Macaca mulatta: one gene and its partners. The protein of the gene in region 4 interacts with the protein of the main gene of each other region in a pairwise test. Links are inferred from orthologs where the notes say so. Each region holds a gene or a part of one and is shown on either strand. Other genes may lie near its edges.

The links.
Region 1: the proteins of RANBP9 (region 4) and PPP1CA interact in a two-hybrid assay, tested with the Homo sapiens proteins (2 studies listed by BioGRID and IntAct). The link is inferred for Macaca mulatta from reciprocal best matches to the Homo sapiens genes RANBP9 and PPP1CA.
Region 2: the proteins of RANBP9 (region 4) and MKLN1 interact in a two-hybrid assay, tested with the Homo sapiens proteins (2 studies listed by BioGRID). The link is inferred for Macaca mulatta from reciprocal best matches to the Homo sapiens genes RANBP9 and MKLN1.
Region 3: the proteins of RANBP9 (region 4) and OPRM1 interact in binary tests that used the Homo sapiens proteins (3 or more experiments, as listed by UniProt). The link is inferred for Macaca mulatta from reciprocal best matches to the Homo sapiens genes RANBP9 and OPRM1.

The regions. Positions count from the first base shown.
Region 1 is NC_133419.1:6,982,110-6,986,170, forward strand, and holds the start of PPP1CA (serine/threonine-protein phosphatase PP1-alpha catalytic subunit), read left to right. Parts: upstream 1-1,261; 5' UTR 1,262-1,337; coding exon 1,338-1,392; intron 1,393-1,918; coding exon 1,919-2,050; intron 2,051-2,199; coding exon 2,200-2,430; intron 2,431-3,457; coding exon 3,458-3,562; intron 3,563-3,906; coding exon 3,907-4,061. UniProt on the Homo sapiens protein: Protein phosphatase that associates with over 200 regulatory proteins to form highly specific holoenzymes which dephosphorylate hundreds of biological targets.
Region 2 is NC_133408.1:171,098,198-171,101,779, forward strand, and holds part of MKLN1 (muskelin), read left to right. Parts: intron 1-367; coding exon 368-477; intron 478-2,353; coding exon 2,354-2,546; intron 2,547-3,582. UniProt on the Homo sapiens protein: Component of the CTLH E3 ubiquitin-protein ligase complex that selectively accepts ubiquitin from UBE2H and mediates ubiquitination and subsequent proteasomal degradation of the transcription factor HBP1.
Region 3 is NC_133409.1:72,845,164-72,849,366, forward strand, and holds the start of OPRM1 (mu-type opioid receptor), read left to right. Parts: upstream 1-1,339; 5' UTR 1,340-1,532; coding exon 1,533-1,822; intron 1,823-4,203. UniProt on the Homo sapiens protein: Receptor for endogenous opioids such as beta-endorphin and endomorphin. Receptor for natural and synthetic opioids including morphine, heroin, DAMGO, fentanyl, etorphine, buprenorphin and methadone.
Region 4 is NC_133409.1:169,400,871-169,405,153, forward strand, and holds the start of RANBP9 (ran-binding protein 9), read left to right. Parts: upstream 1-1,443; 5' UTR 1,444-1,773; coding exon 1,774-2,353; intron 2,354-4,283. UniProt on the Homo sapiens protein: May act as scaffolding protein, and as adapter protein to couple membrane receptors to intracellular signaling pathways. Acts as a mediator of cell spreading and actin cytoskeleton rearrangement.

The DNA of each region.
Region 1 (4,061 bases), on a different chromosome or scaffold from region 4:
CAACTCAGGGTTCCAACAAGAATTAAGGTTAATTTATCGTCTGCTCCTTTGAGACAGAGTCTCACACTGTCACCTCGGCTAGGGGGTGCAATGGGCCTTGGCCCACTGCAACCTCCGCCTCCCAGGTTCAAGTGATTCTCCTGCCTCAGCCTCCCCAATAGCTGAGATTACAGGCGGCTGCCATCATGCCCAGCTAACTTTTTGTATTTTTAGAGAGATGGGGTTTCACCATGTTGGCCAGGCTGGTCTTGAACTCCTGACCTCAAACGATCCTCCCACCTCAGCCTCCCAAAGCGCTGGAATTACAGGCGTGAGCCACTGCACCCAGCCATGTCTGCTCATATAGTAATTCTTTTTACGTGCACACCCTGCAATATTACTGTGCTACTCAAAAGCTAATTATGGGGCCAGGCTTGTTGGCTCACGCCTGTAACCCCCCCAGGACTTTGGGAGGTCGAGGCCAGTGGATCACTTGAGGTTAGGAGTTCAAGACCAGCCGGGCCAATATGGCGAAACCCCACCTCTGCTAAACACACAAAAACCAGGCGCAGTGGCGCGCGCCTGCAATCCCAGCTACTCCAGAGGCTGAGGCAGGAGAACCCCTTGAACCTGGGAAGCGAATGTTGCAGTGAGCCAAAGTCGCGCCACTGCACTCCAGCTTAGGCGACAGAGCAAAACTCTGTCTCAAAAAAAATAAATAAATAAAAGCTAATTATGGGACTTGTAAGAAAATATTAATTTATCATGCCCCAAGGACCAAAGTGCGCTGGAAGTTCAGCCGTAGCTGTCTTTGAGTGTGGTCAGCCGCCTGGGGGCCACGGAGACCCACGAAAAAGGGGGTCGTACGTGAATGCGAGGTCCAGGTCTTGCACCAGTCTGTTCATATCTCTTGAGCCTCAGTTTCCTTTCCTGCACTTCGAGCAGTTAACCCTCAGTGCCTAGCAGCCGGTTATTAATATATTCACAACACCCTCCACCCAGGGCAGGGGTGGGAACGGCTGTTCTGCTTTTGAAAGAGAAAAACAACTTCCACAGTTCTTCCGGCCCCACATCCTCTGAACCGGGCTGGGCGCCTCCTCTGGGGCGTAACCAGTTGGACGCGCCCCCGACAGACCCCGCCGCCAAGGCCCCGCCCCCCAGGCCGCGGCGCTTCACGTCCAGCGGGGGCGCTAGAGCGCGGGGGACCGGGCGGGGCGGGCCCGGGAGGCCCGGAGGCGGGGCCGCGGGCCGGGGGCGGACTGGGGCGGGCGGAAGGAGAGCCAGGCCGGAAGGAGGCTGCCGGAGGGCGGGAGGCAGGAGCGGGCCCGGAGCTGCTGGGCTGGAGCGGCGGCGCCGCCATGTCCGATAGCGAGAAGCTCAACCTTGACTCGATCATCGGGCGCCTGCTAGAAGGTTGGTCGCGGCGGGGGAGGCCTGCGTCCGCCGCTCCCGGGCCCCCTGCCGGGCCCGGAAGTGGCGCGCGGGCGGGCCCCCGGGGCCAGCTTAGACTGGGCGGGGACGGGCCGCGAGGTTCGGTGGCCGCAGCCGCCCCCCCGCGGACGCGCCTGAGAGGTCCTGGGCCCGCTCCGACGCGCGGAGCAGCCCCCTCTCCCGGGCCGGGGGCGCACGGGTTGCCTGGGTTCTTGAGGCGAGGGAGAAACCCGGGAAGCCCGGTCCAGGAAGGGGTCCTGCGCTGTGAGGTGTTTGGGTGGCAGCCCCCTGCGCACGACAGTCGCCTCCCGAGGCGCTGAGGGTAGTTGGGGGCTTCCCTTGGGAGGCTTGAGGCCGAGGTCCCGGGAGGCTCAGCAGCAACAGCTGCCTGCGGGCAAGGAGCGGCCGAGGAGGCCTAGGCGCCCCCGGAGGTATCCATGGGGCCACCCGTGTCGCCCACCCTCCACCTGTCAGGGTCCCGGGTCTTGACACCCCATTGCGCCCCCAGTGCAGGGCTCGCGGCCTGGCAAGAATGTACAGCTGACAGAGAACGAGATCCGCGGCCTGTGCCTGAAATCCCGGGAGATTTTCCTGAGCCAGCCCATTCTTCTGGAGCTGGAGGCACCCCTCAAGATCTGCGGTGAGCCCCCCGACCCAGGTCCCCTTGCTTTCCTGAAAGTGGCACTGGCCCCCACAGAGTTCCTGGAGTCCTCCTCCCTTGAGCCCAGTCCTGGTCCTGGGTTCAGGTCTAGACCCTGCATCTAGCTTACCCGATTCCCTGGGTCACAGGTGATATACACGGCCAGTACTATGACCTTCTGCGACTATTTGAGTATGGCGGTTTCCCTCCGGAGAGCAACTACCTCTTTCTGGGGGACTATGTGGACAGGGGCAAGCAGTCCTTGGAGACCATCTGCCTGCTGCTGGCCTATAAGATCAAGTACCCCGAGAACTTCTTCCTGCTCCGTGGGAACCACGAGTGCGCCAGCATCAACCGCATCTACGGTTTCTACGATGAGTGTGAGTGGTCTGAGCGTCTGGGGCTGCCCGGGTCCTGAACCACACTCCTTGTCATTCAGTGGGACCTTCACATTGGCCTGATATCTGACAGACACTTGCTAGACTGTGCACTCCACGAAGGCAGGGCCCAGGTCCGTTCTTGTGCCTGCCCTGCCCCTCCTGGCATGGGGTCTGGGGAATGGTTGCTGACTGAAGGACTGTCCGTATTCTAGTGCTTTCCCCCAGGGCCCTGCCTGGTGACGTTCCCTCTACATTTGCTACTAAGCATTTAGGATGTTTGCAGATGAGCTCTGCTGTCCAGAAGCTGAGATAAACCAGACCTGTACTTGGCCCGGCTCGTGGGCCGGGGCGTGCAAGGAGTGCCAACCCTGAGGCTGGTCCAGATTGGAACTCAGTTTCCAGTGGACTCGGGTGCTTTAGAATTACTTCTGGTGGGAGGCTGAGGCGGGAAGATCACTTGGACTCAGAAGCTCCAAGTTACAGTGAGCTATGATCTTGCCACTGCACTCCAGCCTGGGTGACTGAACAAGACCCTGTTTCTTTACTTTTTTGAGACGGAGTTTCGCTCTTGTTGCCCAGGCTGGAGTGCAGTGGTGTGATCTCAGTTCACTACAACCTCCATCTCCCGGGTTCAAGCGATTCTCCTGCCTCAGCCTCCCGAGTAGCTGGGATTACAGGCATGCGACACCACGCCTGGCTAATTTTTTTGTATTTTAGTAGAGACAGGGTTTCTCCATGTTGGTCAGGCTGGTCTTGAACTTCTGACCTCAGGTGATCTGCCTGCTTCAGCCTCCCAAAGTGCTGGGATTACAGGTGTGAGCCACCATGCCCTGCCCAGATCCTGTTTGTTTAAATTACAAATTAAAATAAAAAGTAACTAGAATTACTCCTGGAAGGCTGACAGGCGGCAGGGGTGGGGGTGGTTTGCATTGGTGCCTGACTCTCTCCCATCTGCGGCTGAATAGCCCAGAGACCCCGGCTAAGGGTGGAGCAGGCAGACCCCTCACAGCTACCTCCCTCTGGGCAGGCAAGAGACGCTACAACATCAAACTGTGGAAAACGTTCACTGACTGCTTCAACTGCCTGCCCATTGCGGCCATAGTGGACGAAAAGATCTTTTGCTGCCACGGAGGTGAGCTCTCCTTAGTTGTCATCTGGGAAGTCACTCCTTTCAGGAAGTGTCTCCCATACCCCCCTGTGCTGGGCTGCACTCACTTCCTTGATGTGCATCCTACATGGGGCGGGCTTGTCTCCTTTCTCCCAGGAGCTCTGTGCTCCGGAGGCCAGGGGCGCCTTTGTGCCTGTTTGGGAACTTGAAAAAGCTGAGGGGAAGGGGATGGCTTCTGCCTGCCTAGGCACCCAGGAGACCAGTGGAGGGACCAGGAGGGTGGTGGAAAAGGTGAGGCTCACTGGCCAAGGCTTCCTGGAGGAAGGATGTCCTTGTTTGAGGAAGTGACCTTCCTTCTGGCCCTCCAGGCCTCTCCCCGGACCTGCAGTCCATGGAGCAGATTCGGCGGATCATGCGGCCCACAGACGTGCCTGACCAGGGCCTGCTGTGTGACCTGCTGTGGTCTGACCCTGACAAGGACGTGCAGGGCTGGGGCGAGAACGACCGTGGCGTCTCTTTTACC
Region 2 (3,582 bases), on a different chromosome or scaffold from region 4:
TGAACTTTCAGTCTCTTTCAGTGTTCTGATGTAGGTTAAATTCTGAAGTAATTTTTTGCTGATTGTACATTTGGTAAAATTTACCTGTTAAATCATCTAATTCTGGTGGCATTTATTTGGGGGTAGACATATGAACATTTTTAATTTATCTTACAGTGTTTTTATTAACTAAGGAAATCTTATGTTGGCATGGGTCATCTGTTTCGTTTTACTGTTGTAGCCTTAGCACCATGCTAGTCATATAAAAGATGCCCAGAAAATTTGTTCAATGAATCCTTATAAGGTTGAATAGTGCTTTTACTTTGCTAAAGTTTTATTTGAACTGTGTTAATATTTTTCTTCTTCTTTTTGTTTCTTCTTCTTAAAGTTCCACTCTTGTCCTGGGGACCCAGCTTTAACTTTAGCATCTGGTATGTTGAACTTAGTGGCATTGATGATCCTGATGTAGTACAACCTTGTCTCAACTGGTATAGCAAGGTAGGACTGTATTTTAAATCCTGACTTTAATGGCTATAAAAGGAGAAATATGTCAATCTCTTATTCATTGAGAATAATTTAAAATATTCAAAATAATAATAACAGTTAGCTAACGTTTTATTAGGTACTTCCAGTCTGCCAGCTTTTAAGCGATCCTAATAACTCACTTTGTCATTATCACTCTATGAGACAGGTGCACTTACTATCCCCATTAGTTTATAGATGAAGAAATGAAGCACAGAGAGATTAAATAGTTTGCCTAGGATCACACAACTGTAAAGTGCTTGAGCCAGTGTATGAACTCAGGCAGTTTGGCTCCACAGTCTGCTTTTATATTATACCCATTTGACTCTGAATTTTGTTTTTTTTACTTGTATTCATATAAATACTTAAAACATAGTTTTTAGTGGGATAGTTTTGCAGTCTGATGGAAAATTTAAGATGTCGATGTGATTTAGACTCCTAAAGTAGTCAACAGGGTTAAAAAATATTGCTGTTTAATATAACTGTAATATATATTGTTACATGGTAGTTACGATAAATCTTTTTTAGAGGCCAAGAGTAAGTTATAGTTAATTAATTATAATTAAGTTATTAATAGTTAATTATAATGTGTAAGGATTAGATGTTTAATGACCTTTTATTAGTTAAGAAGTCAGCTATCAACTGATTTGTGTTTCAGATCTTATACATCTTCCTAAATACATTTTATTTTCTTGCCTCATTAAAGGGTAATGCCTATAAGTAAATCATTGTTGTTTGATTATCATGCAACATTGTTGTTTGATTATCATGTTGTTTGATTGGCATGTCATCTGTTTGTTTGAATAGTGGTATAGTTAGGAAATTTGACGTAGTCCCAGAACATACTCCTGAAGTTGAGATTTTTTAAAAAAAATCCTTTTTATAAGATTGTATTTTTGGCATCTGTCCTATTAGGGGAAATTTTTAATAAATTAAGTGCCTGCTTTTTGGATTCCAGTTAATTGAGATGTCTACTTTATAGCTGCTTAATAGATGAGGTAGTGCAGGCTTAGAAAACAATTAAATTGGGCCGGGCACAGTGGTTCTCACCTGTAATCCCAGCACTTTGGGAGACCGAGGTAGTGGATTGCCTGAGGTCAGGAGTTCGAGACCATCCTGACCAACATGGTGAAACCCCGTCTCTACTAAAAATACAAAAATTAGCTGGGCATGGTGGCATGTGTCTGTAAGCTCAGCTGCTTAGGAGGCTGAGGCAGGAGAATTGCTTGAACCCAGGAGGCAGAGGTTGCAGTGAGCTGAGATTACGCCACTGCACTCCAGCCTGGGAGAGAGAGCAATACCCTGTCTCAAAAAAAAAAAAAAAAAATTAAATTTAGTCTGTTTTTGATGATTTTTGAGTCATAACACATGTTTGTAAATTTGAAGTATCTGTATACTTGATACTTGTCATTCAAGTAATAGCTTAAAAACCAAAAATAGAAAGCATAATATAATTGTATGTGAATTATTTCATGTTTTTTGTGCTCTCAGTACCTGCATTGTAATGGGATTAATAGACACTATGGAGTTATAATTTTTACAATATTAAGTGGAGTTTAAGAAATAGGTGTTCTCCCTTTCTTCAAAGTTGAGACTCTGGAATTAGGTTTGGTTTAATAACTTTTGGCTACATACTTTGTAACCTTGGACAAGTTTGGAACAGGCCAAGTTTTAGTTTTGCTAGTTAAAAGAGCCAAATAATGATACCTAATGAATCAGGTTAGTACACTGCTTGGGACATAGTGTTAATAAATGCTCAGTGTAGATTAGTTATTTTTACTGTTGTTAACTGTTTCCTACAGTATCATCTAACCAAATCTCTTCTTTCCATACTTACTCTGTGTTCTAGTAGTACCGTGAACAGGAAGCTATTCGCCTTTGCCTAAAACACTTCAGACAACACAACTATACAGAAGCTTTTGAGTCACTGCAAAAGAAAACCAAGATTGCACTGGAACATCCCATGTTAACAGATATTCATGACAAGCTGGTGTTGAAGGGTGATTTTGATGCTTGTGAAGAGTTGATTGAAAAAGCTGTAAATGGTATGAAACTTTGATTGGTTATTAGGGTAAATTCAAGTACATACGGGAAACTTTCACGAAAAGAATATAGGCTTATGCCAGTTATTACTCTAATTTTTTTTCTTGTTTTTTTTTTTACTCAGTTAAAGATTGTTAGCTCTTTGGATTAGGGACTTCTTTCATGTAAAATAGATCCATGATGTAATGAGACTTTAAAAAATGAAATGTACTTGAACTCACATATAAATTTAAGTTGGCATCTTGGGAAACCGTGCACTTACAAATGATAGCATCAACTAGCATTAAACTGTATCAGAAATATTTTGATATTGATAGCCAATATTTATTAACAGTGTATTTTGAGAAGAGGGGGCTAGATAATAAAAAGTGTTATTAATAAGCAATTATATATAAGGAACAAGGAGATTTGTATTGAAAATAACTTCCTTATGGTGTAAATACTATATAATTGCCGATTTTCTTGTGTGACCTGTAATCTGGCTTTGAAAGAAATGTGAATAGTTGAACATCTATATTATCTCCCAGGGTATTGACTTTGGAGGGTAACGCTCATTTGGATATTTAAGGTCTGATGCGTTTTGTTATTTAAACTAAAAAGGGACTCTGTTGCTTATAGTATGACATTTTTTAAAAATCTTCCACAGTAACTTTCATAGTGACAAAGAACAGAATAGTTGTACAATACAAAACTTGTGGAATTGAATTTGGTGCATCTTTTATAGGAAGAAATAAGAAATAATACATTTTTCAGTGATTTGCTCTCATTTTCATTTTATCACAGTTATCATCTTTTACTAGGTATTCATATTTATTAGATATTGGGTAGCTAAAAAAAAACCAGACCTGCACTGCCTTCTTTGAGTTTGTAAATGTAAAGTTAACTTAAAATGAATTGCTTTGAGCTCCACTTTTTAAAATATGACAAATCTGCTTCTAAGCCTTGTACATTGTTATTGCTTACTTGATTGATGATGATACTTGCAAATAAATGATTGGTATGTTTGAAATTGAATATATTTTGGAGTATAAACAAAAC
Region 3 (4,203 bases), about 97 Mb from region 4:
CTCTGTAACATTTTATTGTATAAATTATACCCTTTAATGTAAGAGGATAAAAATAATACTGAACATTGGCAAATAGCCTATGATTAATAGAGTTTACCTATGAGTTATCTGCTTCTAAGATAAATACCTAAAAATAATATTGGAATTAAATGTTCCTTTCAAGATCTACCCTCCCTGCTCCCTGAGAGTGCAGTTAATTTTTCAAGACCAACTGGGGACATGTATTTTCAATGTTTATGGTTAAAAGATATATACATGCACAAAAATATACATGCACAGAAATGAGAATCACTTCAGAATTGGTGTTAACTTTAGGGGAAAAAAGGCCAAGAACTTACTCTTTGTAACTACAAATTTATTTCTAAAATAGAAGCACTCGTGGATTTAGAAGTAAGGTATAAAATTCAAAAACGTATCCATGTTTCTCAAGGACCTTGTTGTAGGCCACTCTATTTCCATACGTTATGTGACTTTTCCTAGAATTTTTACACTAGAAAACAGGCAATCAAATTTTGTTTGGTTTTAACAACCTTCTTCTCAGAAGCATATGTCTATCGAGGAAGTCTTCAGATAACAAGGACAAATCATTCCTAATAGGTCTATGAGATTTAAGATGTGAAAGATCAACATTATCTTTAGTTGACTTTACTGGATGCCACAACCTTCTGATTTCTGTAACCACTTCTTATGCCTCTTCCTCACTGAGACAAAATCAGAGGTAAACAGAGATTCACCCTAAGAGAAATTGGGGAAAATGAGGAACAGGTTTTCTACACAAAAGTTTATTTCTTTCTTATTTCTTTTTCAGAAAATAGAGGATCGCTGTTGTTCCCAACAGGTTTGTAGGGAAGAAAATTGGAGAAACATTATTACATTTTCTTAGATGTTGGCAACTGAGGCAACAAGGACTGCAAAACAAGATTGTGTGTCCCCTATTCCCAAATGATCAAAATTGGCAATAGGGATGGAGGAGCATTGGGGTTTTAGGGTTGTTAGGGTTTCGTCAAGCCAGTGTATTCCCTGCCAGATTTTAAGGAGAAAAAGGCGCTGGAAAATGGAGTGATGTTAGCCCCCTTTCTTATTTTTCACTGCTGCCAAAAACTAACTCTATCTCTCTCCCCAACCCTTCTCTCCATCTCCCTCCCTTAGATGTGTTTGCACAGAAGAGTGCCCAGTGAAGAGACCGACTCCTTGGATCGCTTTGCGCAAAATCCACCCCTTTTCTCTCCTCCCTCCCTTCCAGCCTCCGAATCCCGCATGGCCCTCCCTCCCCTCCCGCAGCGGTGCGTGGCTGGGGATGAGCCGCTGTGAACTACTAAGGTGGGAGGGGGCTACAGGCAGAGGAGAATGTCAGATGCTCAGCTCGGTCCCCTCCGCCTGACGCTCCTCTCTGTGTCAGCCAGAACTGGTTTCTGTAAGAAATAGCAGGAGCTGTGGCAGCGGCGAAAGGAAGTCACTGAGGCGCTTGGAACCGAAAAGTCCCGGTGCTCCTGGCTACCTCGCACCGCGGTGCCCGGCCGGCCGTCAGTACCATGGACAGCAGCGCTGTCCCCACGAACGCCAGCAATTGCACTGATGCCTTGGCGCACTCAAGTTGCTCCCCAGCACCCAGCCCCGGTTCCTGGGTCAACTTGTCCCACTTAGATGGCAACCTGTCCGACCCATGCGGTCCGAACCGCACCGACCTGGGCGGGAGAGACAGCCTGTGCCCTCCGACCGGCAGTCCCTCCATGATCACGGCCATCACCATCATGGCCCTCTACTCCATCGTGTGCGTGGTGGGGCTCTTCGGAAACTTCCTGGTCATGTATGTGATTGTCAGGTAAGGAAAGCACCAGGGCTCCGAGCGGAGGGTTCAGCGGCTCAAGGGAGTCCAAAGAGACACCTAACTCCCAAGGCTCACTGTTGGGCGGGAGGATGAAAGAGGGGAGGTAAACTGGGGGAACTCTGGAGGCTACCACGGACAGTGATTGCTATTTCTGTGAGAAAATCTACTTTTCTAATTTTTCAATTGATAAAGAAGTAATCCAAAATTTCAGGAGCAGAGAAGTTGCTTTGGTTAAAGCTACAAAGGTCTAGGGGTGGGGGGGAAGTTATAGGGTAGACTTAGAGCTCTTCCTTATACTGAGCAAAGAGGGCTCTTGGCAGAGTCCTACACTCAGTCCCTCTGCAGGAGCTATGGAAAGAGTAAGTTGTGAATAATGGGTGAGAAATTCTAGTTAGCTTTCTCAAATTTGGTTGGGGCTGTGGTGTGTGTGGGGGGGAGGGGGGAGAAGTCTTCTCAGTTGTTTTGAGATGGACCTTGGCAACTTTCCTACTCCTACTGGTTTAGTACTTCCCTGTACTACAACCCCACCCTTTCTTCTCCCCTACCATAGCAGCCCTTACCCATATCTTCCTTTCATCCTGAGGCAACACTAGGTAGAGGAAGTTTCCCTAGCGTCTCTCCATGGTAGTTTTCCTCCTGTTATAACAAACATGACAGCTGTGTTGCCTAGACCAGTTTGCCATTGGTAGCTTCAGATCGCCTAAGTCACAAACTGCATCTGGAATGAGTAGGTTGGTTCAGGAAAACTGCAGGACATGGCTGTATTTCAATGCCTCCACAAGTTGGAGCTAATTAGGAGTGACCAAAAGCATCATAATTCCACAGTAGAGACTGCAGAAATGCTTACACAGGAAGTTTTGATGGGTGCTCTAAACAAAGTGTTCTTATCAAGCAAAATTAATTCAAAAGAGTTGTGGTCCACTTTCTGTTTACCCAGATGTTCCAGGTATATTTGGCAGAGTGTGGAAGCTCTCAATATTGATTGAGATTGGTATTGATTGTGTTGCTGTTGATGTGTATATTCAAATATATATTCAAATACTATATGTGAATGTGAAATGCCATATATCTGTTTTTGTTAAATAATATAAATATTTTAAGACTTTAAAATAGCTCCTAAATCGAGGGTTTTTTCTTTTTTAACCAGGGGTATGTGTATGTAGGTAACAAGGCATTTTCATATTTAGTTACAATATTTGTTTCACCTATTCAGCAAGTATTGCAGGTTTCAGTGGAGCTCTTAAATCATTTAACAATTGCTCTCTCCAGTATCGTTTCATTACCAAGGTGCTGCAAATTGCTTATAAGCAATTCTTTCTACTCATCTGTCTGATTTCTTTAATTAATGATTTTCAAAGAGTAAAGCTAATTTCCCTGATCTTTTGATGAGGAATAAGATAAGTATCGTCTGTAAGAAAAGAGCACCATCTACTGAGAGGAAGGCTAACAACAGAAGGAAAAATGTAAGAAGATCAATGGAATAATTTATTTTTAAAAACATTTACTTTAAGTAATTCAATACAATGATTCACATTAAAGATTAAAAGCCAAGTTTCATTCTGCAGTTATGACAATAAAAGTTATAATTAAAGGCCTACTTTGTGAAGAGAAAATATGTTTCTCATTTTTTCTAAAAGAAATTCATAAAATCATACACTAATCAAGCTAGAAGGGACTCTAGAGATTATCTATGCTAAGTAAATAAACTGAGGCACAGAAAATGTAAATGATTTTCTCCAAAAACAGATATTTCATTAATTCAGTGCCACTGAATCTCTCCTAGCTAACATAATTTTATGTTTATTGTGCTGGCAAATCATGATTTGAGTTAATTTGACTATTAGGTTGACAGAGTGGGTTGATACAGCAATAATAACTTGGGAATAACAAATTATCCCCAAATTCTGTATGAAATCCTGAAGGAAAAAAAGCATGAAACAAAAATTACCAAAGCATCTAGGAGTCCTGCCATCTGAAACATAATATTTTATTCCTTTTTATTGCTTCTTGGTATTTTCCTTCCTCATTTTTCTACACTTCAGTTTATGCTTTGCAATACAGAGAGGGCCAATAGAGTGGCAACTGGCTGTGAAATAAGCAGATTGGTCTTATTATTCCAGTGTAGATGTTGTTGGTTGGGTGAGTTGGTTTTAAAGGCATTACCTCTGGCCTCTTGTTGACTTGGAGAAACATGGTGACAGTGCATCTTACTGAGAACATGATATTATGCTTTATCCTTGGTACTGAAAGTTCTTACAAAATGCAGTACTATTTGAAAGGTCATCCCAAACACCCACCTGTGGCAGGGTGGGTTTTAATTGCAGGGTTAGGTAACCCTCTTGGAATGTGACTGTGAAACAGAAAAATGGGCAAGT
Region 4 (4,283 bases):
TCCACTAAAAGTACAAAAATTAGCCAGGTGTGAGCACAGGCCTGTAGGCCCAGCTACTTGGGAGGCTGAGGCGGGAGAATCGCTTGAACCCGGGAGGCGGAGGTTGTAGTGAGCTGAGACCACGCCACTGCACTCCAGCCTGGACAACAGAGCGAGACTCTCTCTCAAAAACAATAATAATAATAATAAAGTACAACAGAACATCTAGTTGTCTGGGTAACTGAGGGAGAAATTAGGCCGAATGACTGTTATTTGTTCTGGCCAGATAATGTTGGCCTTAAATTAAATCACCTTTGGCCTACCTTCTTCAAAACGAAATAATTTTCTCTTCGGCAAAACATTTATTTGACCAAATGATTACCATCGTATCTTTGGAAGCAAACAAAATATCAGAATTTACATCATATAATTTACACATGCAAAGCCCGATTTTGCCAGCTAGGGAGGGATACGCTAAACAAAGGGAAGTGGTGAAAACAAAGTAGTAATGTTATGATGGGTCAGAGAGCAACACTTGGCAAGTTGTGCCAAATTAGTCGACGAAGCACTCTATTGGGAATTGCAAAGTAGGAAGTCCTATTTTTGACTCTGCTGACCTCAGTAAATATTTCCTTGTTTTAAAAATGGGCATAATTTTCTGTTACCTAAGAACAGTTATGAAAATTAACGAGTCTATAAAATGTTCTGACGTCTCTAGAAGCCCTTCCTAAACACACACTATAATTGTGTATTCATACAGTGCCTGCTCCTGGTATTTGAAGATATGCCGGTTTTTATTAATGACACCTTCTACCACTAAGTTCACTGTGAGTCCTCGTAAAATTAATTAATGAAATAGCCACTATTTTAACTGGGAGACTGCCTTCAGAAGTGGTTTCCCCTGCCCATATGGTCAATGTTACGAAATTAAACACTGTGAAGTACCAAAGGCAGTGCGTTCCTCTTTGGAGGGAGGCGGCAAACGGGAACCGGACTGAGAAGAGAGCTAGCGGCAGTGCGCGGGGAGCCTCAGCCGCTCCGCACGCCCCGAGCCGACGGGTCCTAGAGCGACCCGGGGCCCGGGCTCGCGGCGGCCCCAGCGGGGCTCGATTACTCTCGCCTGGGCGAGAAGCGGCGTCTCGGCTCGGAGGAGCCCTACGGTGGGGAGGTGGGGCGACGACAACAAAAAGAAGTCAAGTGGGAGGGGATTCGCCGGCGAGGGGGGAGACGGCGGCCGCCTAGCGGGAGGAGGCGGACATCTCCGAAGGGACCTGCGGCGCCGGGAGCCCAGCGATCCTGCCCACGAGCGACTGGCGGGTCCGGGAGGGCGCCTCGCGGCGTGCAGCCGGGAGCCCCGCGGCCCGCCCCTCGCGCAGCTCGCGCCTCTCTCGCGCCTCCGTCCCGCCCCCTCGCCTAGCACCGCCCGCGCGCAGCGTCTCGCGCCGGCCGGGCCCGCCCGCCGGGAAACAGCCGCGAGAGCAGCGGCCGCGGCGGCCGCCAGCGCGCCTTCCCCTCCCGCGCTACCGCGTCGCCCCCGCCCTCGGCACCTCGTCCCCGGGCCGCGCGCCCGCGCTCCGGCCAACGTTCTCTCCCGGCCTCCCGGGCCCGCCGCCCACTCCCGCGTCTCCGAGCCCCTCAACCGCCGCGGTCTCCCTGGGCGCGCGGCCCGCCGCCTGCTTCCGGGGCGGGCGGACTGGGCGCCTGGTGCCGGCGGCCGCAGCGACAGCGCCCCCGGGAAGCAGAGGAGGAAGGAGAGAAGAGGTGGAGGTGGCCGCAGGCTGAGTCGCGGCCGGGATGTCCGGGCAGCCGCCGCCGCCGCCGCCGCCGCAGCAGCAGCAGCAACAACAGCAGCAGCAGTTGTCGCCGCCACCGCCGGCGGCCTTGGCTCCAGTGTCCGGAGTCGTCCTGCCGGCGCCCCCGGCCGTCAGCGCCGGCTCCTCTCCAGCCGGCTCGCCCGGCGGCGGCGCGGGCGGCGACGGCTTAGGGGCCGCGGCGGCCGCCCTGCTCCTCCACCCCCCGCCGCCGCCGCCCCCGGCCACCGCGGCCCCGCCGCCCCCGCCGCCGCCCCCGCCGCCACCTGCCTCAGCGGCCGCCCCCGCCAGCGGGCCCCCAGCGCCTCCGGGCCTCGCCGCGGGCCCCGGCCCGGCCGGAGGCGCCCCGGCCCCAGCTCTGGTGGCGGGCAGCAGCGCCGCGGCCCCCTTCCCGCACGGGGACTCGACCCTGAACGAGCAGGAGAAGGAGCTGCAGCGGCGGCTGAAGCGCCTCTACCCAGCCGTGGACGAGCAGGAGACGCCGCTGCCTCGGTCCTGGAGCCCGAAGGACAAGTTCAGCTACATCGGCCTCTCTCAGAACAACCTGCGGGTGCACTACAAAGGTACTGGGCTTGTGTCCTGCCGTGGGAGTGGGGCACTGACCCGACGTGGCCGGCCACCGCTGCGCCGCTCTCGACCCGCCCCCGACCTCCCCCGACCCCCGCCCTCGCGGGCTCTGCCCTCGGAGGCCACTCGCCGCTTGTTGTGCTGCTCCGGGTGGGCGCGGGGGTCGCGGTGAAGGATCCGAGGGTGAGGGGCGAGATTCTTGGAAGAGGAGGGTGAGTAGAATGCTCCAGGGTAGGAAGGAGCTGGTAATCTTAGGCCAGGAGCAGGACACCTTGAGGGAATCCGGGATGACAGGACAGAACTGGCTTTCTGATTTCCCTGGGAGATAAATCTTGGGGCTTGGGTAGAGGAATCCATGGACTCGGAGTTGGGTTACATTGTTCTCCAGGTGGTGGGTCAGGCGTTCTCCTCTTACAAGGAGGGAAGAGAGGCACGATTCTGAGGTATGATTTCTAATTAAGAGAGAGCAGGGATACGCAGGGGGAGGAGTAATCAAAATTAGGCCAGAGATTGTCTAGGGGGACTAAAGGACAAGGGACCCAAGTTTGCCATCAGTATATCTTAGTGAAAGCAACCGGGAGGGTAAGAGAAGGGAACCCCAGGAGCACCATTTTTCTTAGGGGAGCAGAAACCTACCTCTCCCGATTGGAAGTACTCTATACAGGTCCTTAGGTGTTGATGTTATATGAAGCCTTGTTGAAAACGAAGATGGAACAAAATGCAGCTTAGTATTTTGAAGAAAATTGGCTTATGTTTTCCACCTGCAGTTAAAAACAACAACCTTAGGTTTGTGCTTGCCCCCTTCCTTCCTCACCTACCTCTCCTAGGTTAAAACAAAGCTTGAAGCAAATCAGTTGTATATAAAATTATGAATTGCTATGGGAACTATTGAAATGTGGCCCAATTTAATAGCGTGTATCAAGTTTACTTGTGTGGAAGAAAAAAAAAAATCAATCTAACGTATCAGTCTGTCTGGAAACAAATCCAGGGTTTTAGGCCCCAAATCTAAAGCAGGAGCTTTTTACATTCACGGCAGCCTCACTTTGATTGGCTACAAAGGGGTCTGCTCAGATCCTAGTGACATGTATGTAGAGGGGATAAACAACCTTGTGGTTAAATTCTTATATGGGACTAAAATTTAAGAAGAAGCTTGATAAGTAAGTTACTATTTAACCAGAAAGGCGAATGGCAATACAAATCTACCAAATGATTTGGCTGCAAAGAATCACGCACAAAAATAGGCCTTGAACATTTTTTAATTCTTGCATACATCCAAAGAAGTACTTCTAAGTGTTATCTTCCTTAATCTAAACGTCTAAACATTTCATTCACAATATCAAATCTTTGTTTTATCTTAAGTTAGGACATTTTGTTAATTTCCTTGTGAAATATTTCTACTTTTATGTTTTAATTTGTGTGAACGGTGCTATGTTATGAAGTGTTTACTTCTGATCTGGCTGCCAGAAAGCTATTGTTAGATGTGACAGAATTTTATAATTTTAAATTTATGGTTGACAGTAATTTGCTCATAAAATCAGAGCCAGTATAGATGAACAAAGAATCCTAGATTTCCTGAGTTCTGCAGTCGTTTGTGGTTGTGGATATTTTACAAGACTGGGCCTCAGTTTCTTCCTCTGAGTGATGTGTAAGTTGAGCTGGAAGATTGGTAGGGAAATTTACAGCTCTGAATTTCCGTGATGTCTACGATTCGTGATTACTGTTTATTTAGTACTGTAAGGTGTCTTGATTAGTTTTAGTCTTTTACATAAGATTCATGATTTAGGTCAGAGAAAAATATATGTTTATGTGAAATTAGTTGGAGTTTGAAATATTTCTGACACTGCTACATTCCTGACACTGCTGTCTCAATTGTTTTTATTCTTGGCCTCTTTATTACTTTCTGTTGTGTAATACTAAGATTCACTT